Drosophila melanogaster: one gene and its partners. The protein of the gene in region 3 interacts with the protein of the main gene of each other region in a pairwise test. Each region holds a gene or a part of one and is shown on either strand. Other genes may lie near its edges. The genes, in order: Ir85a, Hsp27, AstC-R1 and RpL15.

Region 1 (8,444 bases), on a different chromosome or scaffold from region 3:
ATTAACACCTAGTGTATCGAGCTGGAAAAACAAATCAAATTCCAATTAGGCGCCAGAAGGTTGCTAAGTACACAAATCTGTCGCTCTACATGTGTATATAGATCGTGGCCTTGATAAAGATGATCGGCCAGAAATCTCGGAGAGCATTCTATGAACATATGAACTGTGGGCCTACTCGTGTGTGCACCTCATACAGTATATATATAGATGCTTTGTTATAATCTTTGGGGCGGATGTGGGAGCAGTGCAAAGAATTCTGTTTCTGTAGAACAAAAAAAGTAATGAAAAGCGGTTTTATTGCGTGTAAAGCGCCCCAGTGGGGAACCTCACAAAACAAAAAAAACACATGTACATATGAATGTACGTACATATTCTGTTCTATTCCAAAAGGCGCGCCACATGACGTCATTAAGAAAAGTCATTCCGGACCAGTTTATTTGGTAAGCCCAACGCAATTGGCGTTGTAAACTATTTCCCAGTCCCAGGGTGCCTATATGTTTCGTTTTTCATTCATATGTGTGGCCCGACCCGATGTGGCGAAATGAAGGAAAAAGCTTTTCCGCTGAAATCAATAATGGGGGAAACTTGTTGATTAGTTCAACCCAGTGAAGAAAAGCGTTGAAGAGTCTACGGCTAAACAGAAGCCATTGAAATGCTGACAGACAAAGGGGAATCTTTGCGATTCTGAAGAAACAACCTCCATGCGGGCAAAGACTCGGAATTCTGTATACTGTGTAATTTTTCAAGGCATAATTTGTAATAAGTAGATAAGAGTAGGGCTTTTATTGTATATGCTTAAAGCATTATTAAAGCCACATTATTGTATACTTTATTTTGAATATATCGCTTACAGATTGAGGAGAATCCAACGATGACCAGGTGAAGTATAGCAGGGACTTTCGGCAGGATCGGGGTGCACCGGCATATGCAGTACTTGAAAAAGCAGAAACCCAAAAAAAAACGACGGCAACATTTTTATATACTAAAGTTACATAAAAATGGCTGAAAACCAAACCAAAACGACCTCTAGCAAGGGATGTAATACAATGAGCAGGACCGCCCATATCCTGGCGCCCCACAATGGGACTGTGGTCCGCCGGACGGATCCTGGCTCCAAACTCAAAGAGAGCTTCCACACGGAGAAGCACGATATCGAAGACTGGCAAACGATGGCCAAGAACAAGTTGAAGCGCAAGAAGAAACTGAGCAGCTCCCTGACTTCCGTTGGGGATACGGTGAATCAGGAGAAGCGCACTCGCATCGAGGGCATCCAGCTGCATTGTCGCGGCAAATTGCGACCCAAGGAGACCCAATCCTTTGAGGCCGAGAAGGGCCCATCTGCCGGCTCCCAGAAGCAACTGGGAAAGGCAGAAAAAGATCGAGAACGACCCGTAATAATTGGTGGCGTGACTACCACAAATGTGATAGCAGCACCTCCACAAAGGATCAAGAGAAAACTGCAGGAGAACATGGACACCATCCAGAAGCTAAATGCCCTCACGGAGCAACTGCGTCTGGAGGTAAATGAACTGAAGTCCAGTCTGATCACAGAACGCGGTGCAGTGAGAGCCTTAAGGTAAGTCCATTAATATACATATATACCAATAAGGAACGTGATAAGCCCATTTCATTTTACCTTAATCGCACCATTTTATATTGCATAATGTTGTGAAACTTTTTAAATTGAGTTATCAAATACAAATACATTCGTTTTAAAAGTATTCGTGCACTGAAAACATATTTGACCTTTCATGAAAGTGACGATTGGCAATCAGTAAACTCGGAAATAAATATACATGCAATCAGTTTGTTCAAGATTACATTTAAATATTTCTGGTTTCATCTAGATATAAAATATGATAGAATAGTCACACGTTTGATATTAAAACCCATTTCGATCTGATCTTTTGAATTTAAAGAGACATTAAAAAATGCAATCTATCGCTTTTTTATTTCAACCCAGGGCTCAGAATGACGCAGATAGTCGTCGGTGGAAGAGTGAAGTGAAGAAGTTGCAGCATACGCTGGAAATGGCCAAGAAGAGCAACGGTATAAAGAAGGCCATCGAATCGGGCCCAGAATCGAGTGGTGCACATGTGACCGCCGATGGCCTCATCAACTATGAAATCCAAAGACTGACTAACGAGATTGCCGTGCTGAAGGAAGCGAATCGAAACAAGGAGGAGAAGACCCAGGTAAGTGGACGCCACATCAACACAATCATCCGCCTCACATTGCATGCTGCATGCGATAGTTAGTCCCGCCGCTTTGTTACCGCCAAATTGTAGTTGTGGGTCAAGTGCTCCCAGGCCAGCACAATGCATGCCATCCCGATCCCCACCAGCCACAGAGCGAATACGGCGTGGAAATGCTGCAGTTTGAGGACCACCGGTTCATCATTGCCACTCCCGCGTCGACGGTTTACCACCTTTACTCCAGACTTAATAAAGGCGGAGTTCATGATGCGATCCCAGTATCGCTCGAATCCAAACTCATGCGAACTCCGGATCAGTGAGTCCAGGAAACCCAAGTAGGGTGAACCGTAGGGGACGATATAAACGGCGTGAAACGGCACCAGGCAGCTGTTCATCAGGTGGAAAAGCGGACGACCCAGGTGCATGTGCACACGGCTGTTCACCTGGAAACGGGCGATGTGATACTTCTCCAAATAGGCAAATCTGCGAAAGTAGATTTTATGGAATTACAGCAATTAATCCACGTACACGCATACCTTATGTCATTGTTCCTCATCATTTCGTACATCTGGGTGTCGGAAACTTCCAGCATTTGTTCCCGAATTCTGGACTCGTGCTTGTGTCCCAGGGTTAGGAAGTGTTGGATATGTTTTACGTGCCTTGGACGAATGATGATGTGGTAGTGGGACCTAGCCAACGCACCCAATTGGTTTATATCGGGTAGATAAGGCTGGAACACCATCATGCTGGTCAGATTTCCCTTGAATGCCGAGCATATAAGTAGTCCAAAGTAAAGCCAGAAGATCAGAAACAATCGGATCGAGTGGTTTGGCGGAATCTGGGTCATGGGCATAGTTAGGGCTCCGGCGAAAAGTTGCATGGGAACCCTACCCACTTCAGATTTCAGGATGTAGCAGAAGACATTCGCCACCAGAACAGAAACCAGAATTAGGGCCCAAACTAATGAGCCAAATGAGCGAAATATGTTCCAGAAAGTGGGAGCAGTCTTGGCTTTCGGCACAATCACGCAAAGATCATCACGCGTGTGGGATACCGTGCTTTCCGCCTGTTTCCTGAAGGTATCCGGAACCAAGAAACGAATGTTCATGGCCACATCCACGTACTCCTTGGCCACCTCAAGGAAACATATGTCCGAGCTGAGATTGTGGTTGTTATACGAGTGCGGACGCGTTATCATCATGGTCGCGTTCAGTCGCTCAGCCACATAGGCCGCCAGCAGGCCATCGGTCCCCAAGATAGTTCCCTGTCTCCAGAAGATTGCCCTCACATCGTCCTTGTAGATGCACATTCTCAGCGGCTTCCTCTGCATATTGGGTATGGTCTTTGGGAAAAGCTGCTCTAAAGTTGGAACCTCGTTTGGTTTATTGTCCACTGGTATCAAATAGTTGTCCATAAACGGGTTGTACCGATAGGCATTCAGTCGTCCATCTCGCCAGTAGAGGATCACGATGTTCAGTAGCCATATCTTCCAGAATTGCCGGAAACTGGCCCGCATCCAAGCATCGGAAACGGTATCCGCATCTCTGACCAAGAGAAAAACATGCGATCGATGCTTGGCAGCCGATTTCTTCCGGATAAGTGAAAGCTCCAATGGTTGTGATATGTTTGTGGTGATCATCACCATGTACATTAGTATGCCATCATCCTTGACCGCCTCCAGTGGTGTATTTTGATTCCTGAAAGTAAAATATTCGAATATTTGTGGTTATTATATGTTATCAGTATTGTTATGGGATTAAATGATCAACTTGCCTGAGAGATATGTACGATATGTCGCACTTGGTCACCTCTTTGAGTATTTGACCCGTATGCTCGTGGGAGGTTTGATTCTCGAAGTAGACGAACAGGACCTTAATCCGAGCCTTGCAGAGGATCTGACTCATCTTGACCATCACGATCGAACTTTTCTTCAAATCTAACGGAATGTGATTCTCCCGTGTCCCGGCCAAATTGACCAGGATTGCCAGGAGCAGAATGTGTTTTAGCCACTGGATGGACATTGCAATGCCAACTGTTTGAGCAGAGGGATGACACCATTGTTTTTATACCCAGAGCCAATTTCGATATAGCAATTTCCCTAATGCTTGCCATATCGGCAAAGGGCGTTAAGCAAATATTATGCTATATCTTCTGCACTTTTATACCCTGTAAAAGGAACATTGCGAGTTACTGCCTACAGATTGCATTACCTAATTAACACAGAAATATTCTTTTCCATACTGTTTTAATTTCAGGTTTTAGTAACCCTCTATAGTTCCCAAGATTGTGCGATGAATTTTAAGTAGGCATATAACTCAATAAAGTGAAAGTCTTTAGGTGTTTGCTATTTGTAAAATTTTCGTTTTTTTTAATTTTTTTTTATGAAGGGTATGCGATTCTTCGACTGTGGCAAGAACTTTCCTTTCCCGTTCTTTATGTAGCATTTTTTGTGTGTTTTTGTGTCTCGTTTGGTTAATGGACGTACGCGACCTAATCGCAAAGTGCAAACTAACAGCATGGATTAACTTGCTTCTGGTATCTCCCGCTGCTTGGAGCCCCGTATCCAAAAAGTTGGCAACACGCAAACATGTATGATTCGACCATTTCTTGCAGATTATGGGGCAGGCTGATAGACTCAAGGCTGCCGATATGCGGCAATTGAAGAACGCGTACGAAAACCGATTGACTCACATACAGAAATCAGCCAAAATTGAAATAACACGTTTGGTAAGTTGTGCGTAGCGGCTGCTAACGGGTCACCAAAAGTTGGCTCAAAAGAAGTGGTTGTGAATGGGGGGGGGGGGGGGGAAGCGTTACGGAACGAAACCCGGCGGTTCAGAAGCGGACGGGCAACTTTTCATACCACCATTGAAATTCATACATGCATTTTGAATTTGCACAGCAAGAAAACAGGTCATATTCAACTAGCTGCTATAAAGTACCCATATTATAAGCCTTATATCATTTTGATTTACTGGTCATATATTCGTATAAACATTTTCATTTTTCGTGATGTTATTACTAGAGTTTAGTTTCAATCAGTAAGACCATATACATATAAACATTTCTTTTTGCACTTACACCAAACTAATGGGATATAGTTACCTACCATTTGTTCTCATTAAAAACATACACAACAAGTTGTGTATTCCCATTAATGGTATAAACATTTAATAACGCTGAATTGAGCCACCAACATGGGCTTGTATAAATATTAGACCAATTCTGGTTGATTATTGAACAGTTTTACAGGTGGATGAACACGTATTGCTCATATATCTCTAAACTCCATATGTTTAGTATGAATCTAACCAATCTCTGCTACTTATTATTCCAGTTAGAGGAAATAAAGACCAAAGAACGTAATATAGGACAACTGAGGAAGGACTTGCTGGCACTGCAGAGTCCCAAGAAGCTGAAGCAGAATGAAGCCAAAGTGCCAGCGACGACGAAACCCAAAACGAACCCCAACGAAACGAGCCAAAAGCCAAAGAAACCCACTACGAAGGCGGCGGGAGAAACAAAAGCTAAAACCGAACCAGATACAGATACAGATATATCCGAGCAAAATCCCATACGCCAGGCTCAAGTTACACCTGAGGTGAGTTTGTATTTTGTTTCTTTGGCCGTTTTTTTTATGTTATAGCTGTTTGGAGTGGGGGCAGCACTTGAACTTGCCGGAGAGTCGGGTTAAAAGTTAAGAGCTTGGCCAGATACAGTATCTGTATCTCGGGATGCAAGTGTATCCATATATGTATCTGCCTGGCGATGGTGCCCGAGTGATATATCTGTATCTTTTACCCCTGTGGTTATGCACTATTGGCATGATCTATGATATAATTTTGCGTTAGTTATGAGAATGGCAAAGACAACAATCGCCGCGTCGATAAGCGGTGGGCATGAAAAAAAAGTAAAACGAAAAAAAGGGAAAAAAGTGAGAAAAAAACCTGCTGCGGCAGTTGCAGCGTTGCAGTTGCAGCAGCGCAAGTGTTGCAAGTGGATCGCTGGCGTGAGCGAGAGAGAAAGAGAGATAAAGAGAGTGGAGCTGACGATTCCAAGCCGGTTTTTCGCACCACTCACTCACTCACTCACTTTCTCTCCCGCCGCTCGAGAGTTTACCGCTCGCATGAATGGCCGTCAGTTCGGTTTTTAAGTTCGCAGCGGTCGCAGGTGTCGCAGGTGTCTCAGAGATACTATATGAGCCCCGATATAATACCAAAAATCCTATAAGCAAACAGCCAGTGAAGTGCACAAATCAAATGGGTATATATCCGAGTTCAAGCGGTGCATAATGAGGTGAAATTCGCGGCCCAGAATCGTTGTGGTTTCGTCAAAAGAGGCGCTAATGAAAATCGGCGTGTATCGGGGTGCATTGTCTGGATTTCTGTGCCGAAAATGAAGGAACCAAATGCCACACAAACAATCGTTACCTTTTGAATAGGAAAACCGATTCGCAGTTTGTCTTTCACTTTGGCATTGTCTAACGCACACGAAACCATAATTTCACCGACTTTGCACTATAATAGTTTAGTGAAACATGCCAAAAACGATCAAAATTAATTGCCTTTCACACCGTTGCCCCCATCCATCTCTCCTTCTGCCACCAACTGGCAATTCGTGGCCATATAGCCATATAGCCATATAGCCGCGTTACGTTCCAGTGATCGAATTCGATTTAACAGTTCATTAATCTTGCCTGTTTCATTTCTCGTAATTGTTTTATTGCCGCCAAAGTAGTCGAGCATTTGTTACGTCCAAGAGCCAAGATCCCCAGATCCCGAGATCACCGAGCCGTGTCATCTGGATCTGGAATCTGGAATCTGGAATGGGTGTGAATCGGATTCGCGATCGAAATCGGGGCTCGCATCTGCCAGAACTCTTTAATCCGCGATCGAATGTCGGCCAGTGCGCCAGTTTCTAGCAGTCAGCAATCATTTGCATAGCGAAATAGCAAATTGCAGCAGCAACATCATCAACAATCGGTCAACGATGTCATCCAGCAGCAGCAAGAATTAAATGCAACATCAATTAATGCACGCAGAGAAAAAGTGTATCGCAAACTCGTTAAAATAGCGTTTATTTAAGGGTAACAACCTAGTAAAGCATTTAAGTGTGTGTGTGCGCAATTAACTGCTCCATAAAATATTTTTTAATTCAACGACACCCAAAAGGTGAAATTGTTAGTTGTTGATTGTTAATTGTTATTAGGTTGTTAGGTATAATATATAACAAAAAAAAAATTGTTTTAATTAGTAACAAAATAAACGTAATAGCTACAATAAACGAGTGTCAAAAGGTTAGGAACTGCACAGCTTAAATTTTGGTAAACAGCTATTATTAATAATAATTAAAGAAAGGTACGGTGCCAGATGAGTTGTATGACTTTAAGGCCCAACAGCAGACAATTATGTTTATAATAAATATGTTTTTACATTATAAACCGAATAGCTTTGCATTAGCCAAACTCTCTCACTGAATAAGACGTTGTGCCATTATTTGCCGAATGCATATTGATCTTTCCACCTTATTGATTGATGTTTTCGCCTGTGTAGTAGCCAACTAGCCACCACTCTCGCCTGCAAGTCAAGAGTCTTTAAGGAAAAAGTGTGTGGTTGTGGGCAGTGTGTGTGTGCACACCACCAATTGGGGTCAGTGAAAAGCTTTTAAAATGTTAACGCTATTTTAAATACGATACGTTGCTACGAGTATGACTATGCTGCGGAGACCTGCAAAAATTTAGTCATCCCCAACTTCCCATCGGCGTCGCCAAACGACAGTAAAAGCGATGGGATGGATTTGGATGGCATGGGATGGGATGGGTTGGTAATGATGATTGTGATGATGATGTTGCTAAAACAAGACGCCAGTCGACCAATATGCAAAGTAATCACAACACAAAAAGTGTGCAGACAACAAAAACTAGAAAACTAAACGACATGGTAGAGAGAAAAAAAAGGGGTGTGTGAAATGGAAATGTGAACCATATGCAAATCGCGGATCGTTTGCCGGAATGTGTCTATAAATTTCGATGTTTTAGTGAAATTACCACGGTGAAAACTATTCGCCGAGAGACGAAAACTTGAAAATTGCGGCTAATTGTTTTTGTCAACCAAAATCGGCACCATACATCATATGTGGGAATAATGCATAAATACGCCTGACAATGGATTACTACTATAACCGAAGGGATGTCAAGGTAATTGACCACTGCCAAAGCTAGAGTAGATATACACAAGCATGCATATAGTA
Region 2 (7,623 bases), 9.2 Mb from region 3:
ATATAGCAAAGCCCATAAACAATTTGAGACTGCAATGATTAACACAAAACACAAAAAAAAAAGTTAAGTTAAGTTATCTTAACATTTAGAACCAGTATATTGATTTAGTGGCTAAATCGATGTATAATTTATCCTCTATTCGTGTACTGCTTTTATTATCCAGCCTCTCCGATCCCATACCATATACATATATGTATGTCCACTAAGTTGTCCATGCCAAAAAGCCCAAAAACCAACCAGAGACGGTAATTATTTAGTCCATGTGTAGGATGTGTTTTGTTTCTTAACTTCTAAGTCAAATGAAATTTTAAAAAATTGATCTGTGATTAAGCGTCATTGAATATACATACATAACGTGCATAAATGCAAGCAAAAACATATTGACAGCAGCCGCAGCCGTAGAAAATGCAGAAAAATACATAAAATACATTTTTACTTAACATCAACTAAGATAAAACCAACAACAGCAACATGACAACCACTAAAAGCTTTTTCGCGGTTAACAGCGAAAGCTCCACGGAGCCGAGAAAACTGAGATATATCCGTATCTCAACACCCAGCTGAGAAATATGAATGAAAGCCGTTTTAGATATAGATATAGAATTAACAGTAAATACTTATGATCGCTACAAGTTACGAGCATAAAACAACCAATATGAAATCAGAACGGGCAACTAAATTTTTTATTATGTATTAAATATTTAAATAAATATGTGCAAACAATTGATTAAATTATTTAAATGTCGTTCTTATCTTGGATTTTCTTTCAGTGTGCGCGGAACTGGAAATATTTGCATGACGTTTGTCAAAATGTAATTGAAAAACAAAAATCATTTCCCATTTTTTTTTATATCGATTTCTGAATTGTGCAAAATCATTACAAATCATCATAACAATCGTCGACAAAGGTTAAGCAATTGGCTGACCATTTAATTTTCCACAAGTCCAATTCAAGGACAAGGAAAACAGAATATGTACATAAGACCCCTTGAAAGTTAACGACACCCAACAAAAGCCGGTTTACCCTAAATGCAAATACATTTGCAGATTCGAAGCTAAAAAGGAAAAAAAACCAACAAAAACTCGACAGCTGACTTCTTTTCGTGTATTTGTATTTATTGTATTCGTTTATTCACAAATGAAATGCAAAATTCTCCCGAGTGTTGCGCCTGTTCTTGTTACAAAAAGTATAAACTCAAAGGGAGCAATGAATCCTCCAGTTGTTTAGCCTAATAATACACACTAAAATTTTGTTTTTTTTATGCATTATGATAAATGGAGTTTAAAATCACTTAGTCTAGGATGTTATGATGATGATGTAATGATGTGATGTGTGTGAATGTAATACATTGGGTGTGTTGTGGTGTGTCCTTTTTAGTCTTGCTCTCTCCGAGCAGCGCGGCAACACTCCCGTTTCTTCTTTTAAATTCTTCTTTCTCTCGTGCTTCGGATGTGTTTTGTTTCTTAACTTCTAAGTCAAATGAAATTTTAAAAAATTGATCTGTGATTAAGCGTCATTGAATATACATACATAACGTGCATAAATGCAAGCAAAAACATATTGACAGCAGCCGCAGCCGTAGAAAATGCAGAAAAATACATAAAATACATTTTTACTTAACATCAACTAAGATAAAACCAACAACAGCAACATGACAACCACTAAAAGCTTTTTCGCGGTTAACAGCGAAAGCTCCACGGAGCCGAGAAAACTGAGATATATCCGTATCTCAACACCCAGCTGAGAAATATGAATGAAAGCCGTTTTAGATATAGATATAGAATTAACAGTAAATACTTATGATCGCTACAAGTTACGAGCATAAAACAACCAATATGAAATCAGAACGGGCAACTAAATTTTTTATTATGTATTAAATATTTAAATAAATATGTGCAAACAATTGATTAAATTATTTAAATGTCGTTCTTATCTTGGATTTTCTTTCAGTGTGCGCGGAACTGGAAATATTTGCATGACGTTTGTCAAAATGTAATTGAAAAACAAAAATCATTTCCCATTTTTTTTTATATCGATTTCTGAATTGTGCAAAATCATTACAAATCATCATAACAATCGTCGACAAAGGTTAAGCAATTGGCTGACCATTTAATTTTCCACAAGTCCAATTCAAGGACAAGGAAAACAGAATATGTACATAAGACCCCTTGAAAGTTAACGACACCCAACAAAAGCCGGTTTACCCTAAATGCAAATACATTTGCAGATTCGAAGCTAAAAAGGAAAAAAAACCAACAAAAACTCGACAGCTGACTTCTTTTCGTGTATTTGTATTTATTGTATTCGTTTATTCACAAATGAAATGCAAAATTCTCCCGAGTGTTGCGCCTGTTCTTGTTACAAAAAGTATAAACTCAAAGGGAGCAATGAATCCTCCAGTTGTTTAGCCTAATAATACACACTAAAATTTTGTTTTTTTTATGCATTATGATAAATGGAGTTTAAAATCACTTAGTCTAGGATGTTATGATGATGATGTAATGATGTGATGTGTGTGAATGTAATACATTGGGTGTGTTGTGGTGTGTCCTTTTTAGTCTTGCTCTCTCCGAGCAGCGCGGCAACACTCCCGTTTCTTCTTTTAAATTCTTCTTTCTCTCGTGCTTCGCCAGCGAATCTCGTCGTCTTCTTCCTCCTTCACGACTTCTTCCTCTTCTAGTCTTCTTCCTCTTCTCGTCTTCTTCATCTCCTAGTCTTCCTCTTTTCGTCTTTTACTTGCTAGTCTCCATTTTCTCGCCGCTGCCATTTTCGGCTTTTCCATCGCCAGCCTCGGGTGCCGGTGCCTTGACGCTCAAATGGGCAGGCCCCGTTTGCTGGATCTGGACAATGCGCTCCGACTTGGCCTGTTCCTTGCTGGGCGGCGGCGGGGCCTTGAGGGTCAGCACACCGTCGGATGAGACAGTGGACACTACCTCGTTGGGGTCAAAGCCCTTGGGCAGGGTATACTTGCGCACAAAGTGACGCTGGATCATTCCATGGCCGTCCTCGCGCTCCTCGTGCTTCCCCTCTACCACCACGGTGTTGTCCACCACCTTGACGGTCAGCTCGTTGGGCTTGAACTGCGACACATCCATGCACACCTGGAAGCCATCTTTGCCCACGGCGGGCAGCAGAGCGTTTGGACCCCCCGACGCGCGACGTGACATTTGATTGTGGTGGCCATGGCTCCTCTCGTACGGCGAATAACGACGACGACCCAGTCCCAGGGTGTTGGGCAGTAGCAGGCGACGCGGATGGAACAGATCGTGGGCATGGACGCCAAAACCGAAGTCATCCTCCAGCAAATGCCCCCAGTCGGTGCGGTAGTCATGATCCAACTCCCGGGCCAAGTGCAGCAGTGGTATAATTGACATTTTTGATTTTTTTTCTCTTTATTCACAACCCTGTCTAGACAAAGGAATTTTTTTTGCTTTTTCGAATTTTTTTAGCGAAGTTTGCTTCAACGTTTGCCTTCAATTTTTCAGTTTAGACTGTGCTCGGGCGACGTTGACGCCGGCTTTTATACTGACGCTGGGCTCACACACACTAGTGCATGGCAACCAGGGACGGAACTTTAATAAAATGATGGGGGGTTGCCATCTTCGTTAGATTTTGCCTGCAGAGAAGGTTTTCCCTATGATCCCCTAATGCAAATATAATAATATTTAGATATAGGCAAGCAATTATTAGCCTGTCAAACTTAAAATTTAAGCGACATTTAAAAGCCCCTTTGAATACGCCCCGTAATTCAACAAACAGTTTTCTCTCGCATCTTCTGGCTCTTTCTAGCACAGCCGGCTTTTCATAGAGAGAGGGAGAAAGAACCAGAAACTTCTTGACATTTCTTTTCTGGGGAGTTTCTCTTTGCGAATAAAAAGCAAAACGAACAGTTAAAATGCAGTACATACATATGTATGTACATGTACGTATATATGCAGATATATGTATTTATTTAAAGCATTTTCTTCTCTTATCGCTCTTTTAAAAGCTGTCTTTTCAGAGTGCAACAGAGCTTGTATTTTCATTGGACAAGTGCATTGAACCCTTGTCTCGCTTCGTTCTGCTCCTCATGTTTGCCGTTCTTTTGTTTGTTGCAAACATTTTTGCAGTTGCTTTCGCCACTGCTTCGCGAAGTGGGAAACGGGGCAATTGAAAATTTTGCAAATCATTGCCAGTCTGTTGCAAGTGTTTCGATTATTATATGTACATATGCATACATTTCTATATATATGTATATGTGTATATAGAATCTTTTTATTCTTGGTTCACCAGTTAACCAAAATACATAATTATTTTCAAAACTACATGCATACATACATATGTATGTGTATGTGTGCATGCACGTAATTATTTGCGGTAACATACAAAAATGAAGTTCAATTTATACATGTACATAGGTACGTGCTATAAGGACGTACATAACGTACATCTCTTGTAGAGATGACAGAAATTCATTAAAAAGAAGAGAGTGAAAAGGGATGTATATTCTTATGTACGTATGTATGTACATGATGTACTTATGCATGCTTTACATAAGGATTTAACCTTGACTGAAGTTCCTTACATTCATAGCTTCAAGTCTCTTTACCGAAGTAATGTAAAAAGTCAGTTATGTACACAAACAACAATTAAATAAAAATGCCATTTTACGTGACACAACAATGCAATATACAATGCAGAAAGTAAATTCTAGAAACCGGGATCACAGGAAAAAGGGCCAAGCTAGCCAAACAATTCCCAAAGTAATAGTAATAGTAACCCATAACCAACCAGAAAAACAGACCAAACACAATTATAAGTAAGTGTACTTGTTATTTATTTTTATGGGTAATATTAATTTCGCCAATTTAGTAATACATATTCCAAACTAAGATTAAAGCAGGACACCCTTAATGGCTATTGTGTATGAGTGAAGTGTCCTTGGATAACTACAGCTTATAAAACAGATGTATGACTTTGATAATGGTTAAATAATGCAGGGCATCTCTCGGAACGAGTCCTCTACTTATCGTTGCCATTGTCCTGCTCCACCGCCTCCTTGGGATTCTCCTTCACATTGAGATGGGCGGGTCCCACCTGCTGGATCTGAACGATGCGCTCGTTGCCCTTATCCTCGATTGCCGGTGGCTTGGGCACCTTGATGGTCAGGACACCATCGGAGGACAAGGTGGAGGCCACCTTATCAGCCTCATAACCGGGTGGCAGAGCATAGCGGCGGACAAAGTGACGAGTGATGAAGCCATGGTCATCTTCGCGCTCCTCATGGTTGCCCTCCACCAGGACGGAGTTGTCCTGCACTTTGACCACCAGTTCGCTGGGCTTGAAGTGCGACACATCCATGCAGACCTGGAAGCCATCCTTTCCGATTTTCGACACGGCTCCCGACGATCCCGACGAGGCGCCCACCTGTTTCTCCAGCTGGCGCAGCTGCTGCTCCATCGGTCCAACCAGGGCCAAGTAGGGATTCCTCTGGCGCTGGCAGTAGTAGGGCTCATAGAAGGGCACCATCGACATTCGGCCCAAATCGTCGGCAAGGCTCAACAACAATGGAATATTTGCCATTTTTGTTTTTTAATTGCTTCAAGATGATTCTCCTTCAAAGAATAAACTTCTTTTGTTGATAGGTTACTTTCGCTTTAGCTGTTATCGCTTTGGCTTTTTGAATTCAACTGACGCCGGTTGCACGAAAGTGCCGGTTATTTATACAACCGCTCGCTATCGTAGTGTGCGTGCGCCCGTCGGCGCTGTGTGTGTGCGCGTCGTGTCTGTGTGCTAGGGGGCACAAACATCGACATCGAGAAGGGACACGAAACTTCTCGGGCTGAAAATATCGCAGAGTTCTCGAATTTGCCGCAATTACGCATTATCTGCCATTGAAAGTGAGAGTATCGCTATGGAAAATGAGCAATCTCCTAGGGGAGTGGGAATGAAAAGGCCTGGTGGAGTGATAAGTCGCATCAGCACCGGCAAATATTATGTGTATGTATAGATGTACGTATGTAAGCACGTATGTATGTACATACATAGCAGATAGGAAGGTTGGAGTATATTCCACGAAGGATGGAGTAAATTCGCGAAACTTCGAGACTGCAGAACAGTTCTTCTTTTTATGGCCTGGCATTTAAGCTATTAACTTTAATTAATATCCAAGAATGGGGCTCTGTAGTGGGGAAATCTAATTAAAATACATAAGTGGTTAATGCCGGGTAGGTAATAACCCATGGGATGTAAGCGTATTATTACTCCAATCAGTAAGAAAATGTAAAAATGATACGATTTGGAACATATGTACATTCATACAATAAAGGATTCGAAGGATGTAAAAATTATTTGAATAAAATGTAATGCAACTATTTTGAATTTCAAAGGTCGATAGATGAAAACATAAACCAAAAAACATTAAAAACATTTAATAAATTCTAATAGTCAATATTTGGTTTATTGAAAACGAGGCTGTAACCTTTTATTATATTTGACCAATTTCTTAAGACAAATACATATGTATGTATGTAAGATTTAGCTGCACATTTGCTTGGTACAACTTGATAAATATTCAGCTTATATACACATTGTTTAGAATTCAGAATTACTTCGTAATAACCAAATCAAATGACAATTTGTTTACAATTTGTTGTTACAGTAGCGATTGAATAACCATATAATACATGGGCATTGCTATAGAACTCAATCTCTGGTTGTTATATAATTCGAGTTTTTATTTATGGCCCCATTTTCTTGTCACCACTCCTCCTCCACTGAAGTAGAGTACTCTTGGTGCCCAGGGCTTGGACAATCCAACGCCAACGCAGTGGAAGTTGTCTATTCAAAAAGGTGGCCACATAATGTGCGAGCATGCTCGTCCGGCGGATTTCTTCCCCTTGGTTAGGTAAATGGGAGCAAGTACCCAGTGTGTATGTACATGGGGAATGTATCGTATGTACAAGGGGGCATCTCGTACGCAGCAATCTCTGAAGGTTTTTGCTCTTTTCCGACTGCAGCTGGCAGATACACCATATCAATACAAACATACTATATAATATAATATATGGCCATACAGAATTGTATCCCGCAGCTGAGTTCGGGGCCCCAGTAAATTTTTAGCAAAGTCTCCACTGTCTGGCCCCCGTCTGGATGTTGTTGGTGTTGTTGTTGTTTTTTGCATTTTGGAGCTTTTCAACCGGTTGCCATCGCTTGCACTTGGCTATGTAACCACATACGAATCCAGCAATATCATCATCATCTGTGTGGCAGGGTATGTATGTATGTATGTAGATACAAATGTATATGGAGATACCATATGTATGGGTTGCCCCAGACGCTGTCACTGCGCATGTTTACGCGACGCCGGCTTGCCAATCCTCCAGCTCTGGCAACAGCGGATTTGTAGCTTCCAGGCGGCCCTGCCAGCCAGCCAGCCAGCCAGCTGTTGTTGTAGTTGTTTATCGCCGGCGACTCGAATCCGCATCGGCAACCGGCACGAGACTCAGACTCTCAGCTGTTCGCTCAATGCCGGCAGTGGGAATTCAGCTGCAACACGACCACTTTACATATACCCCGTCTATATGGATATTTGTATATATGAGTACATATATGTATATCGCCGGTACAAGGAAGATGGCATC
Region 3 (8,644 bases):
CCTCGGTTTTACTTTTCGCCAGATACTCGCACTCAAATGCGAGTGCGGACTCGTATTTCGGTCACAAAATGCGTGGATGGGATGGGGGATTCACTTGTGCATGTCAATCACATTCTGACAGTCTGCTGCGGAGGCATATAGCAGCCGCCATATAGAGCACATTCGCACACACCTCCCCGGACCGCAGTCATCCAAATCCATTCACTCCTAGCCATCCATCCATCCATCCATCTATCCCAGCTACATCCATCCTCATCGGACTGCCAACGATGCGACGATGAGACAACATAGCCGCATTTGACTGACAGCCTAAAACGGTGGCAGTCCATAGTATCACAAAACAGAGCTATTTGCCCGTGTTTCTGGTAATTAAATACAGCAAAATTCTCAATTATTTATGGCTAATTAAATTTTATTCAGGTGGAATTAAATCTGAAATTTAAATCTTCACAGCGAAGGGGAAATTCAATTAAAATAATGACTCAATTATTAATTGACTTTATGGCACTCTAGAAATAGCCGCTAAACACCTACTAAATATGCGAAATACATATTTCATGGCAACGCTCATAAAAACGCGCCATTTCTGTCCAAACTATTAATTCATGTTTTGCGCGCAATTATTATTTCTAATGTGTGACATTTATTATACGCTGTGATCATTTGCATTAGACATAATTTGCACTGGCAAGAATGGGATAAATTTAATGGGGAAATAATTTCAAGTGTCAAGTGGATAGAAAAAAAAGGGGGGCGTTACTTCAAAGAACAAGAGCACTTGCACTATTAACGCAAACTATGTTATTCATGGAGGAGAAAATGTATGAAAAATATATTATTACCACAACAATTTTCCAATTAAAAGCCATATAAGCATCGTGTTTGGCCCACTTCATTTGCGTATACACAAAAGCTAAATTAGCTTAACAACACAGAATCGATATTAAACTAATTAATTAAGTTTTATCCCAGCAATATATCGCTTTAATGATTTCAATACCATTTAATTTGCATATTATTTTTGTGATACTGCTGAGCGCGTAAATCTACCAAAATCAACCATTTATCGTAATGGAGTTCTGAAATTACACCAAACTAATAGCTGCATAGGGAACTCTATTTATTTGCATACATCGGCCAACAGAGTTCATTAAAAATTCATTGGGGCTCGCGACTTTGCCAACTCACTTGAATATTTAGCCGAGCTTGTTGGAAATCAATTTCGGAAAATTGCTGGTATTTATATGGAAATTCAACGGTGCAGGAAAGTATAAGGGAAAAAATTAACAGAATTTATAAGAAAAGTTTGCCTGCTACCGAAAACTTTTTCACAACAAGAGCAACCACGAAAAGGTCCAGGGAATGGGTTTTAAAATGATAAACTGACCCTCATCGAGATTGTCGTCCTTATGCGTCTGCATTCCCAGACGCCACCGACAAAACCGCCCAAAACTTTCCCAGCCACGTCGTCTGTGTTTTGGCCAACTTAATTCAATCAAGCGAAAATTGCTTTAAAGTCGAAAATGATTTAATATTCTTGTGGGAGTGATTTCAAAGCAAACTTTAATGAGCTGATTCCTAGCAGCAGTAATTACTCTGGACAAGCAAAAATGCGTTCTTGAAATTCAATTATCTACATTAAGCTACATATTTTTGCGGCCAGTTGTCAAAGTGAGGCTGACAAATAAGCAAAAGCTGGTAATGAAATCTTTGAATGCCCTTGAGTAACAAAACAAATTTAAATACGTTAAGCGAAGACAATGCCATTCAGTACAATGTCCTAGATTATGGCTCATTTTATTGACTTTGACTGGTTGGCACTTTTGACGTCGTTGGCTTAATTTCAAATTTTCTTGTTTTCCGGACTTATATTCAAGACACAAATAAATTCTAACATGGCATGCTTAATAGTAATTTTTTTAAACCAGCCAAATTTATTTATTTACATTTTCATAGAACCTTCTGCAACATTTTACCGATAAAAACTATATTTTTTATAGTGTGCTTCGAGCGGTATTTAAAACATATAAACTTTTCACTGGTAGATAATTTAATTTAAAGTTTTGTGTACGACACAGAGGGGACTTTGCTATGGATAAAACTTTTTACGATTTGAGGAATGGTAAACAATAAACATCTCCCAATTTCGGTCGCATTTAAAGCACTTTTCAGTGCCAACGGAAAAGGATTAAAGCAAACTGTCGGAAATTCAACCAGAAGGATTAAAAGTTTTGCTCAAAAGGCCAAACTAAAGTTTGACTCCGAAGAACGTCGACAGTTGCCATATTTTCTGTGTCACTCTCTTTCCAAAGTTTCTTCTAGATATCCCCCAACTCTTACCATATGTTTGCCAGCTTTTTTTTCACTGTCATCTAACCAAGTCGAACTTTTTTCTAAACGAAAACATCAACTGGCTCCACATGGAAATTATTGCAGCAAATTTCTTTCCAAGTTGGGTGCGAACAAAAACGGAAAATTTCCTGTTCTTCTAATGACCAACAGAGCAAGGGAGATAACTCCGGGTTTGGGCCAGGTGGATAGTTTTCCAAGTGCACGGCAATTAGATTTCGACGCCTGGGGCTTCTTAAGTTGGAGCTCTGAGACGGTGGCAGTGCTGAGATATGATTTATTTACCCAAAAAATGTAGGAGGAAACTAAAGATTGGTATCTGAAACGCAATCACTTTCCAAACTTAATTTAAATATCTGATAAATTTGCAAACTAACTTTGTAAACTTTGGAAAAAATATGTATGAATGATTTATATCGAGTGTGATGTTTGGTAACGAGGCAAGAACATATTTTTAATGTTTTTAAGAATATATATATGATATAGCACAGTCTTGCTATATCATATCCTAAGTAAATTGTGAGAGCATGCATTTCTTGTCCTCCTTTCCATGTCATTACTGATTTCAATTATTGCAAACAACTGTATGCAAAATGCATGCAATTAAGGCTAGAATAATCAATCAGCAATCAAAGCCTTTCCGAATTCAAGCTAATACACGTACATTTGCAACTATAATTATAACATTGACTGTCCCAATACCGATATAATTTTAAATGCAGTGCCATACCTGAACTACGAAACAATTGTGCCGAAAATAATATGTTATGCAAACACATTTGTGTTATTGGAATTTGGTAAAAGTATAAATAACACATTACGTATACGGCCGGTAAGCCATCCCATAAACGATTTTGAACATTTTAATTATAAGGAATTATAAATCTGATAAAATAAGGGTATATGCTCGCTAATATATGTTAAATTTAGAGTAATTAAATTTAGGTCCAAAATAACTGGAAATAATTTTTATAACAGCATGATACCAAAGGAAGGTAAAACTTTTTAAAATTTCTTGTTTTAGCATGAGATAGATAACACATGGAAGTAGTTTTGATTAACCTATAGCGACAACACATCTCAATATTATACTTTGATAATCCTTGTTCTTATATCCTTCTAAATGGCACCAGTAGAATCAACAAGCACTTGCCCAAAATGGCAACAGAACTGCAAGCGCTAACATTCGACTGTTGTTGGCCAACGAAAGTGAGAGTTCGTATAAGAGAGAAAGTGTCGGCGGGAGAGTCTCCCTCACCGCGTGCTCTCCCGACCAACTGTTAATTGAGGAAAATTGCAGCTGGGAAAACGGCAGCAGACCGCAACACGCATCAGGCATCAGGCCAATCGGGCGACGAACCTGAAAGCCGAGCACCGAGCGCAATTGTGGATCCGAGCGACTCTGCAGTCGGAAAACTCGCATCGGAAAATTCGCATCGGAAAACTCGCATGCACCATAACAAAATTCGCCGGCAAATGCGGCGCGCAGTATGCAAAACAACACCGGAACGTGCAGTTCAGTCACTGTATCTGAATCTAAAATAATAATATAAAACCAAACTACGAGCAAACCCAGGGTAAAGTAAACAAAAACTTCGCCAGCGCCAAAGACCAAATTCGATGAACGTGCGCGAAAAACTCAAACCAAATAGGGTGAGAGTGGCGAAAAAGTTGGGCGGGTGATAGATAACCCCCGGGGGCTTTTCCTGCTGCCTGCATCCAATCCAAATTAGCGGCCAAAAACGCAAGGAAAATAAACAAATAATTTTACTACCAGCCGCCGTCGAATCACAAATAAATCCGACGTAGAGTGAAAAATAACATTAGCGTCGCAATCCGAGGAATTGCAGAAACGCTTGCCAAATATTTTGAAAACCCCGAAAAGTGCGTGGTGTGCCATTTTATCGGATTCGAAAGGATGAGTGGCTAGATGACACAATATATTCAAGTGGTAAGCAAAATGTGCCTCGAGGAGCATCGAACGGGTTGCCTTGTGTGCACATCTAAAACGATTGGGTGCTATCTATCTCCAATGTGATTAGAAATATGTATGTACTATATAGTAAATAAAAAATAAGCTCTCCTCATCTACATATAAATATAATCCTAATTCTAGTTTTTGAACTTAAATTAAATATAAATATAGTTTAACTTGAAGGGTTTGCAATACTTTCGCTCTGTGCTTGGGTTTTCCATTTTCAACGTTCAAATGTTTGTGTGCGTTGAAATTTATCAGATAACTGAAATTCTGTGCGAATAGCAATTTGTAACTGTTGAATGTCTTGCGTTGAGGGAAAGAGGTTGGTCTTCCTACGAGGCGATGGGATGGGTTGAGGAACGAGGATGCCCGATGATGTGGAAACTGAGAAGGGCTGACCATCGACGGCAGCCGCAGTAAACCAGAAAGGATTTTGGGGAAACGAAACAAAATTTGACAAATTAGGGAATGCTGGAATGGTCGTAAATGTTATTCAGAGAAGTGCTATGCTGAGAATAAATGCAGAAATTGTTACGGAGACATGTTGATTAATTCGTTATGTGAGATGTGCAGAATAAAAATGCCAATTTAAGAAAAGAAATGCCAAGGCCACAAGTAATTTTCTTAATAAATATCCTGCATACATATTAAAGTGCAGCAGAAATTATTTGTTATTGGCTCATTACTCCTAGGGGTGTGGAATTTTGTAAACTTGATTTAATTGTAAGTAATTCCCATTTTATTATGAGAAAGTTAACCAAGTGGTTCAGAACCAAAGCTATGAGCTACTTACAATTTTTATAGAAGCCCTCTATGTTGTTCAGCTATGAAACTCAAGTTCCTTTAGCCTCCGTAGTTCCCCCTTCACACCAGATAACCCGGCGAATGAGCTCATCCAGCTAAGTAAAGTCCACTAAAACCGAACACCCCCTCCCCGCAAGACCAACTAAAAGGCACAAGGAGGCGGAGATAGCCACTGCCACCCCATGACCATAAAGCCCAATCAAAAGGCCGTTGCACTCGCTGACTAACGGACTAACTGAGTGAATGACGTGCCCTGGCCCAATCCTTCAGTCAATCGGTTTGATGGCCTGAGTCCGAATGTGGAGCTAGAAGCAGCACGGGAAGACAACGCAAACAGCAGGCGAAAGTGAAGGAGCAAGTCACGGAGGAGGAGCAAACGAAGCGTTTCAGCAGCTGCTGCTGCGACTCTGCAACTCGGGGCGTGTAATTTGTCAGACAGATTTCTTTTAGCGCCAGGACACAACCCCTCCCATCCAATCCAATCCAATGCTTCCTACACACCCACACTCAGCAATTGCCCACCCACAAAAAATACCGCCCACGTCATTGCAACAAAACTGCTTCCTTCCTGACTTTTTTGGCCATGCTCTTTGAAACTGAACTGGGCGTCCGACGAGGCTGGGATTGCTCTTACAAATCAGATATTCCCTTTAATTATATAATTTACAAATCTTTGTTCGTGAGTTTATACATTACATACATAAAATCGGAAGTGTTTTAATTTGCTTTTACTTTTGCATTTAAAAATGAATTATAATCAAGTTGATATAGTATGCAATTTTTTAGCTTGAAACTATAAATTGTACACTTTTAAATCCGTTTTATTTTATAATTTTAAATCAAGGATCTTAACAGAATAGACATTAAAAATTGTAGTCTTTCATTATAGGTTTGCACCATTGGTGACATATTTTGTCAATGTTTCTGATACCAAGTAGCATTTGGCAAAAATGTGGTTAAGATAAGAAAAAATGTATAAAACACCCCGGACTTTTATTAAAACCCATTGAATAAGTGAAAATGGGAACAGTCTGTGCAAAGGTATTGAAAAAGGAAGGGAAAGGAACGAGCCAGACATTGACATTTCAGTGCAAATGAAGTGATAAAACGTAAAGGCAAAGCGGCGTCAGCTAGAAAATTGCCAAAGTGGGTAAAGGAAGTGTAGGGAAAAGTGTGGAAGAGAGAGACAGACATAGTTGGGGAGAAAGAGACGGACGACTGAGCTAGATAGAGAGGGCCTGGCAGACAAAGCGCGTCGAAAATGCGTCTAATTTGATGGAAGCGATGCATGCCTTAACCTTTCGTCGGCGTCAGGCAAACAGACAGCAGCAACAACGAACACAACGATGACAGGCACCAAATGATAGCATTTCCTCCCAACTCAAAGGATCCGACTTAGCCAAGAACAAGGACACTGGCAAGGGAAAGGGAAGGGGAAAGAGTAGGAGAAGGGACCAGCCAACTGGGAGAGGATGAGCACCGGATTCAAATGGCGGAACAAGTGCCAGAGATGCTGATGTGGCGCCTCCTCAGCTGCTGACAACAAATTGATGGCCAAGGATGCACAGAAATTCCTCGGAAATTAGTCAACGCACAAGGGATTCCCACAAACTTCACTTAAAGGGGAAACCGTTCTGAAATATTAGACCGTTGTTAATATCCCAATCCTTCATGCTTTCCCAAAACAAAATTCACTTTCTTTCCTTAATCAGAACGAAAAAATATCCAAAAAAGTCCCTCAAAAATACAAATTTAGATTTAGTCTTTATTTTATCATATCACAAACAAATAAAATCTCAAATATTTAAATATTTAAATTTAATCGTAAAAATGATTCAATATTGAGCAAAATATATAAATTTACACACTATAGTACTTTTAAAATGGGTTTTCAAAATTCTGATGCATTTCATTTACATATAACAAAAAATATATTATATTTTATCGGAATTCCCTTCTGAAAAGTGCGTAAAACTTTTCCATCACATTTTCCAAATAATTAATTAAGTGGCACAAACCAGTGTTTCCGCTAGAATCAGCCCCTGGGTTAAAGTTTTCTGCTGCTAATTAGAGAATTTTCAATAATTATGCATCATAATTGACAATTCAGTTTTTCACTACTCATCACTTGCGGACGGATGGGTCTTTCCAGCACCGTCAACTTTGAACTTTTTCTGCTGCACCAGACGACAGAAAACGAACAAAACTTTTGCAATTAATTACGGACAAGACCCCTAAACTAAGAAGGGGTTAGATCGGGCGGTGGGTTACGTTCAACTTATCCCATAGAAAATACAAAAATTAAATAATAATAATGAACGGGATAGGAGGAGCTCTGTATTAGAGAGATCTGCTGCAATTAGAATTTTTTTTTTTAGAACTAAAAAGGAAATGGAAATGCATTCAAAGGGGTTAAAGGGATGGGTAGCATATCATATTCAACTGTAATGACTCTCTCCCCTCCCGACTGCAATGGCCTACTAAAAGAGAATTAATGAGAATGGGCGCAGAGGGAGGGCGGCTCTATCCAAACATCCACATCATGATTGACGAGTTAATGTGGACTTAGTTAGGGTTCCATCTGGGCCAACTGATGGCGAAACTGTCAATTAATGCGAGCTGCCAGTGGCTGATGATGGGATGTACGAGTATAGGAATATGGCGATGAATTCAGTCTGAACAGTTGGAAGCTTGGAAGAGTAATGCCAACTATTGTGATGAGCTAATATAATTGAAATATAGAGTTCCGAAAATATAAATTCTACATTTCAAGGTATGTCATTTTAAAAACTGACTGTTGAAAGAATAAAATAAGATCCAGCAGATATTACGAAACCTTTGTTCAAGAAATGTTGATACTTTCCAGTTTTAAAGCCAAAATTCATAAGTTTATGAATATAAATAACGATCCTTTACAAATATATTAATTTTTTAATTTTAAAGATATTTTTTTGTGAATTAAATATAACAAACCTGTAAATTTAAGGCGCTGCTTAAAGCAAATAATAAAGAACACGAATCCTTCGCCGTAGAGAAAAAATGAGAAAGTGAAGGAGCAAAGTTTTGCATCAGAATGTTGGCACTTTGCGTCCATCAGCAGCTTTCACCACAGGAATTTGCAGCACTTTTACCGTTCTCCTTCTGGCTATCGGAAAATGTGCTGCGCATGTGCAACGCAAGTCTGCGGAAAAGTAATAACAGCGGAACCTGCCCGTCTTCATTAAAGGTGCAACTTTTCAGGGCGCAATATTGCAAGCGTTTTCCCGACGGGCCCCCCAAGTTTTGGCCCCGCCAAGAGTCAGACCATGATTAATGTTCAAATTAAACAAGGCCGCCCTGACTTTAATGACGACAAAAGAGCAGCCACAATAACAATGCCACCAGCGGCAGGAAAACACAACTAAAACAAAAGTGTTAGTCACACCCGAAACAAAAACAACAATGCCGTTCGGTAGATAATGATGGCAAGTTTATACAAAAAATGATTAGTCTGGGGGCTCACTCAATGTCGCA
Region 4 (7,081 bases), 8.7 Mb from region 3:
ATGCTAGCGATCTAGAGAGGAGTAAATTTTTAGAAGCGCGATTGATCGACGCGAACAATAGGCAAATAGAAATAAACACTTAAGTTCAGGACCAGATAAATCAACTTACCTCCACAGTCAACGTAATTCTCAAGACGGCAAAGGGGTCACAAATTGACTCCAATCATTTGTATGAAACCTTTCTGGCGAGAAATAGAATGCTTATGATGGAGCTTCAAAATATCGTTATCCCGAATATTCTCGATCACGCAGACTTTGGCTTGAGGAGCCCACGAACACCCCCATAGGAGACCTCATGTCCGTGTTGTCCGTAAAAGTGCTTCAGTCCACAAAAAGATTACTATTTTCCCCGTTAGCCACCAAGGAGTCGTGCTGCGAATCACCAACAACGTCATCGCTGAATGTAATAACGAAGTCTACACCGTCTTGGACTGCACGGCTTCGAACAGCACCGCCTTTTGTCACTTGTCGTCGGGCAGCTCATGTGCCAGAGAGCTCCACGCTGGCGGCGTGTCGCACTGCGCAGAATGTGCTCAGCCTCCCTTACCTTCATCGCCTGAGTGAAAGCAATTTGGAGACAATCCGGAAATTCAAGGAAGAGATCGACGCTGATCGCCCACAACAGGTGGCACTTGTCATGGCTTCAGTATGTTGTCTGCTATTTTGCGTTGGCCTCGTGAGCTGGCGTATCCTAAGGGCCAGAAGAGCTACAAGGCAATTGAATGTGGCGATTGCCGGAATCAGGTCGGCCGAGGGCGTCCTCCAACTAAAGTTAACGTCCGCGGACGGCCAGATAAAATAAGCGACAGAAACCGCATTCTTCAAAGTATGCATAATGCTATATATGCATATATTTGCGTGGCCGCTATGAACATTAATCCGCAACGATATGTGTTGCGGTTTCACTGGTAGCTTCAGTCTCCGCAAATAAAATTGTAACGAAATAATCGCTCCGTCTTTCATTGGGACGTTAAACGGCAACTTTAGTTACTCTATAACACTAGTAACTAATTCATTTATATATGATGTAGTTGTCTAATTTTTGTAAGAAAAAAGGAAATTAACTTTTTATTGACGCTTTTGGAGTTGGCGGTAATCATAGAGGAAAAATGTATAATTAATATTAAATTAACATCCAGAAGTTTTCCGAAGTATGTTTTTTAAGAAAACTCTTGCCTATAGATACTCCGCTTTTCGTAATCTACTTACACTACAAAAAAATCAACATTTATATACTGATTGGAAGCTAATACCCTTATAACCTTTATACTCTTTCTAAGAGTAACGTATAATTAGAGAACTTGCCAATTAAAGGAAAATCGTAATCTAAATAGAGCGATTTGCACTATATGTAACAATTTTACAAAAATTAAGGAACTCATTGGTCTCGCAGTCGCCAGCAGTTCTGAAATTGTTTTATTGTAAACTTTGGTGACATAATTGTCCAAATCCATGCTCATCTATGAACATACATATATGTATACATATGTAGATAAGCTGAGGGAGCATCATGGCTCCCGAACTCTTGCAGATCGCCCTGCAATTAAGTCTCCCTTGTCATTCATTTCATAGCTAGTGCCCGCCCATGCACATCGATGCTTAATTATCACTGTATTATTTAAACCACATAATACAAGGCTTTTTACATCATTTAAAGGCTTATTTTTAAATTTAAAAAAAAAATGGAAAAAAATGTATTAATTTTTTTCAGGTTTTTCCAAAGTAGAGTGAACCGAATAGATTAATGCGTAAGCGTAAGCGAGCGGACAGAGAGCAATGTATGGCCGTTACGCATCTTGTTATTCTAGTGTCTTTGGTAGAAGGTTATACCAGATTCGTTGAAAAGAATTTAACAGGTAATAGGAAGCGTTTACAACCATATAAAATGCACATATTCTTGATCAGGAACAATAGCCGAGTCCATCTGGCCATGCTCGTTTGAACGTATGAACGTATCGATTTTAGGAACTATAAAGGGTAAAATCTTGAGATTAAGCCTGCAGCTTTCAGAAACACAATAAGCGCAGCGCAATTGTGTTTCCGAATGTTGTCACGCTTAAGCTTTTCAAAAAACGTTTTAATATTATTTAAATACAAGCCGCCACGCCCGTTCTTACACCTACATAAGTCCCAAAACAACCACGCCCTCGCTTTTGAACATTTTTTTAAATTTAATATTGTTTCATTTTCCAATATCTTTCGATATGGCATTTTTTAGATATGAAGCAGAAGAGCTATAACAAGCAAAAATACGTTTGCGTGCCCATCGTCGTTCAAATGAGATTTTTTGCTCAACCTTGAGGTACTTTTTTGTTAGATCCGCTAAACGAAAAAGGGATTATTTGCATATATTTTAAAATTTTTTGTAAAAGAATTGGAGTCTTGCCGAAAAATGGTCTTAGTACATTTTTGAAAATAAAAACTGGAAGTTAATGTAGATGAAAGAAATTTTATATTTTAAACCAAAATTCCTAATAAACCAATATGCCAAACCAAAAATGCGAAAACCTGTTACTATATCTATTTTTGCGTTTAAAAGCTCTTTTCAAAAAATATATTTTTTAGATATGTTCTTTGCGTGCACGAAGTGCTTTATTTAACCGATAAAATAAATGCTTCACAATTTATCGTTTTCTGTGCATGTGCTCACGGTTCTTGCGCTTCCAAGCAGCACGCCTAGATCCACCAATTGTCTGGGAGTATCTATATCCCTTGCCAATGCCACGCGAACTTTTTCCAGCTGATGTAAGGCCACGCAATTCACGATGCTTGTGGACATGCTTGCAGATCCAGTTAATTTTTGGATCACGACGAATAGCACTGTGATGAGTATCAATTAAGATTACTTCAAAATATTTATAAGAAGCATCTTGCGCAATCCAATACGAGTTCAAAACTCGCAAGCCGCCAAGTCTACGACCAACACGTTCCTACAAGAAAATAAAATTCATGATATATTTCAGTGTTTTTTGGTGAGGACCTCTTAATTGGACAAGAATATTTCAGACATCTAAGGAAGTTAATGTCAACATATATTGTATGTCAAAAGGGGTTGTCATCAACTTGTTCGAACGTGTGGTTAGCAAATTTCGTTTTTTCTTACCTCAGCAATGGATTGCAAACCACGATATGGTTTTAACTGGTTTACACCATGACTCTTCGGCTTGCCATAAGTGCATCCTTTGGGAACTGGACGCTTGCGACCTCCGCGGCGAACACGGATTCTATAAATCACGAACCCCTGTTTGGCTCTGTATCCTAAACGTCTTGCTTTATCCGGGCGAGTAGGTCTTGGCGAACGATGCAATTTCGTTAGTTGGCGGTATTGCCAAACGCGAATACGTAGCAAGTAGCGCATCACATCGCTCTGCTTCTTCCTATAAAGTTCCTGCATGTACCGATAAGCCCCCATCTCTGCAATTTGATAGACCTAGTAACAAATTCATTATTTATTTTATAACTGTCACATCATCGGTCCATCAACTTCTTAAACTGTACATATTACAATCTAGAACAGATAATAATTCGTATCAATGTTACATAGCAATGTGAGTACAAAAACGAACATAACATCCGTCAGATATCCATAATCTACACTGAGCTCAGAGTGGTGCATGGAAAAAATCATCATACAAACTTAAAAACATTTTAAAAGGACCGAAAATAATATATAAACTTATTTCCGAAATGATCTCGTACTAAAGAAAAATTATTGACCCGAATGCACAACCAACTTACAGCACGGAAATATTCCAAAAGAAGGAAGCAATGAGTTGGATCACACGACAAACAAGCTCAGAGTTGCTTTGGGATATACTTACCCTAATGCATGAAACATTGTAAAACGGAATTATACCCCTTTCTCACAGAATTGTATTATTTTTAAAACATCCCAGCATGTTCCGTTCCATGTTAATTTATCTTATCGCATTCGATTTGGGAAAAGTCTTTTAATTTCGTTATTAGGTGCTCTGGTTTTCAAATAATTTTTGCTATAGTGCTATGCGTTATTTCTATGCTATTTCGCTTTATTTCGTTTCTTGCTGCTCAAACAACTGACTTTTTTCTTTGTCAAAATCAAACAACGTGAAGATATCCTTTATATATTTGAAATCGTTTGTTTTGAAGCCAGACGGACGCAGAAATTGCTGTTTGCAATTGTTTTTCATACAAAATAGCTACCCCATTTTTCACAGTTTTTATTTATTTTTTAATGAAAGCATTTTAATATATGGTATAAATATTTTTACCTGCCTGTTTCGTTTTCCCGCAATAACTTTTGACGACGTACTTAGCGACACCTTAGCAAATCGAAATTTGTTGTTGTCGACAGCAAATGTGTGCTTGTCACATCGGAGGCGAGTTCCTCGCCTATCAGATACCCGTTCCTCAGCTAGTGCGAAAAAATTTTGTTGCAAATAAAAAAAATTATAAAAATAATTAAAATGTTAAAAATAAACAACACGTTCTTCAAAAGTGTAGGCGTGCCAGTTTTTGGAGGTTTGCGTGCGTTAGAGTGGGCGGGTCACCAAACTTGCGCTGCGTCTTTGCCTCTAGAACCTGTATGCTGAGATCTCGATGTTCATATAGACAGACGTACATGGCTAGATCGACTCGGCTATTGATCCTGTTCAATAATATGTTTTGTATAGTCGTAAACGCTCTTTCTGCTTGTTACATAATTTTCAACGAATCCAGTAAGTCTTTTACTCTACAAATAACGGGTATTAAAAGGCATTTTTACATTTCGGCCAGACAAAAGTCAAAATTGGTTTACGACCAAAAGCGGAATCATAAAATTCATACGAATTCGATTACCGGATCATGCACGATTATATTTTTGATACCGATATACAGGTTCAGATTTAAAAATGTTTTGAAAGTAACCAATTTCATAAGCGACAAATGTTATTTGCATAGGCACTAGAATAACAACAGTCAGAGCCAGAGACCGGAGAGCTCTGCAGCCGGTTGCTGGCACTAGAATAACTATAATAATTTATATAATAACTAATTTATAATAATAACTATAATAATTTCGGTCAATTGGCATCATGTGAAATATGTTTTCTCTGCATTGCCTTAGTGCTATTATTATTTAAATATAGCATAGAAATATTGTAGTATTAACCGAATCTATTTAAATGTCACAAATTAGAGTATTACGTTTGCGAGGTGTGAGAAATTATGACAACAATGATTGATGATAGCTTGTGTCCGCACTCAGTGCCTCCAGATATAACTTTTGCACTAAACAGATTTCATATTTTTATTTATTTTCTACTATGTTTTATTTTTATGAAATATTTTTTTTCTCAATGTACTGACTTTTTTTTTAAATTTATGGTTTATTTATTTATTCAAATTACAGCAGTTATAATAATTCCCTTTGTCTATGCTTTAATTATGTAAAATATTTATTAAGTCTTTTGACTTAAATTTTAAATTTTAAATTTAAATTAGATTCAGTAGAATTATTTTCTTATATTCCAATTTGATGGTGGGAAGAAAACTTTTTTAATTTTCCTTTTAATTTCTCTAATCCGTTTGAGTAAAGCTTACTATATGCAGAGCTACTCGATTTTTTTTTTAAATTTTCGCTAATAACCGAGTTTGTTTTCAATAAAAGTCATTTTGAATAAATATAAATATAAATATATACTATTAAATATTTAATAGTATAGTACAAAAATGAAAGCTCGAATAGTAATTGCGATACGTATCTATTTTTGATATATTTTTTAATATTTGCAAAATACTCATAAAAGTTTATGAAAATACTGTATACAAAAATATTTTTTGTTGAGCAATGCATTAAGCGCACAAATAAAAGTAGTGCTCTCTCATTATGGTTTTATGTAAAGAATGAATGTTATGCGTATAAAACGGATATGTTAAACAAAATTATAAATGTTTTGTTTTTAAGAATAGCAAGTGGACTGTAATAGTTGATAGAGAAAAATAAAAAAGATATTTAAATAATTGACTCCTGAAAATAATTAATAAATGCCAAAAACGACAAAAAAATATAATAAAAATGAAAAGCAATAGTTAGAAAAATAGCTAAATTGGGGAAAATGGAAATGTTTGACATTATAATATTTCAAGTCGATTCGAAGGTCAAATAATTCCGTGGTGTCCCCTGGGTACCGATTATTTGTGTCGAACTGATTTCTTTCCTCAGTGGCAATACTTCTACTGCAATACCGCCAGTGCCACATAGCTCGCGACATACATATTAGAGTGCTGCATAACACCTTCTCTTTGTTTTCAATTAGAGTATTCATTCGTTTCACTGCGTATTCACAATGCATGCCATTCAGTTGGCCGCGTTCTCTTTTAAGCTTCCGATCTAAATGAACTCACTGAATGCGTTTAAAGAATGAATGAGCCAATGATAGTAATAGTAGTTCAGAGTGCTCAGAATTCTTCATGTTGTCATTGGGTAAAATGAGTTCAGACAGCGCGGAGGTAAGTCAAAGTTTGTGTTTTATTATGATTACAGTTTGTCACTGTACACACTGTGAAATAATTGGAATTTTTGTCTTTAAAGGTAGAAATTAAGGGTTCTTTGCTTAATTAAACGCATTTTTTTATGAAATATAATTAAACAGTATTTATTTTACTTATAATACTTATATCAAAAGTTACTTATATCAAAAGTTACTTAAACAAATTGAAAATATTAAATATACCAGAAAATAAACTACAAATTCCAAGTTTACACACTTTTGAGACTATCAAGAAACTCTACACAAAACACTAAATCGAAGTATAATACTAAATTTTTAAATTATTTCATTAAAATTTTAAAAGTTTTAGTATGTAGTAAGTTCCCCATTGTCATTGGCTACAAGTTGGAGACTTTTTTTATGGAATAGATAAGTTTTTGGAGGTCATATTTAAGCGGTATCTTTTCCCACTATTTGACTATTGCAGTCATAAGCTGTTGTCGTGTTTCAGGGCCCTTTTTGCCACCTTCTTTTTGAAGTAGGTCCACAAATTTTCAATGGGGTTCAGATCAGGACTCTAAAGAGGCGTACCGATCACTTTACCACAGTTGTAAAGGAGCCAGGTGCGT

Evidence for each region.
Region 1: the proteins of AstC-R1 (region 3) and Ir85a interact in a two-hybrid assay, tested with the Drosophila melanogaster proteins (one large-scale study listed by BioGRID).
Region 2: the proteins of AstC-R1 (region 3) and Hsp27 interact in a two-hybrid assay, tested with the Drosophila melanogaster proteins (one large-scale study listed by BioGRID).
Region 4: the proteins of AstC-R1 (region 3) and RpL15 interact in a two-hybrid assay, tested with the Drosophila melanogaster proteins (one large-scale study listed by BioGRID).

Annotation. Positions count from the first base shown.
Region 1 is NT_033777.3:8,790,456-8,798,899, reverse strand, and holds Ir85a (ionotropic receptor 85a), read right to left. Parts: upstream 4,217-8,444; coding exon 3,984-4,216; intron 3,893-3,983; coding exon 2,732-3,892; intron 2,679-2,731; coding exon 2,255-2,678; 3' UTR 2,196-2,254; coding exon of another isoform or gene 1,964-2,195; 3' UTR 1,934-1,963; downstream 1-1,933. Other genes in the region: Pif1A (PFTAIRE-interacting factor 1A), read left to right, coding at 999-1,576, 1,964-2,195, 4,809-4,922, 5,533-5,796.
Region 2 is NT_037436.4:9,379,938-9,387,560, reverse strand, and holds Hsp27 (heat shock protein 27), read right to left. Parts: upstream 3,499-7,623; 5' UTR 3,376-3,498; coding exon 2,734-3,375; 3' UTR 1,867-2,733; downstream 1-1,866. Other genes in the region: Hsp23 (heat shock protein 23), read right to left, coding at 5,003-5,563.
Region 3 is NT_037436.4:18,556,405-18,565,048, forward strand, and holds the start of AstC-R1 (allatostatin C receptor 1), read left to right. Parts: upstream 1-3,853; 5' UTR 3,854-4,300; intron 4,301-8,644.
Region 4 is NT_037436.4:27,263,941-27,271,021, reverse strand, and holds RpL15 (ribosomal protein L15), read right to left. Parts: upstream 3,768-7,081; 5' UTR 3,499-3,767; exon of another isoform or gene 3,431-3,498; 5' UTR 3,413-3,430; coding exon 3,104-3,412; intron 3,069-3,103; exon of another isoform or gene 2,999-3,068; intron 2,931-2,998; coding exon 2,625-2,930; 3' UTR 2,577-2,624; downstream 1-2,576.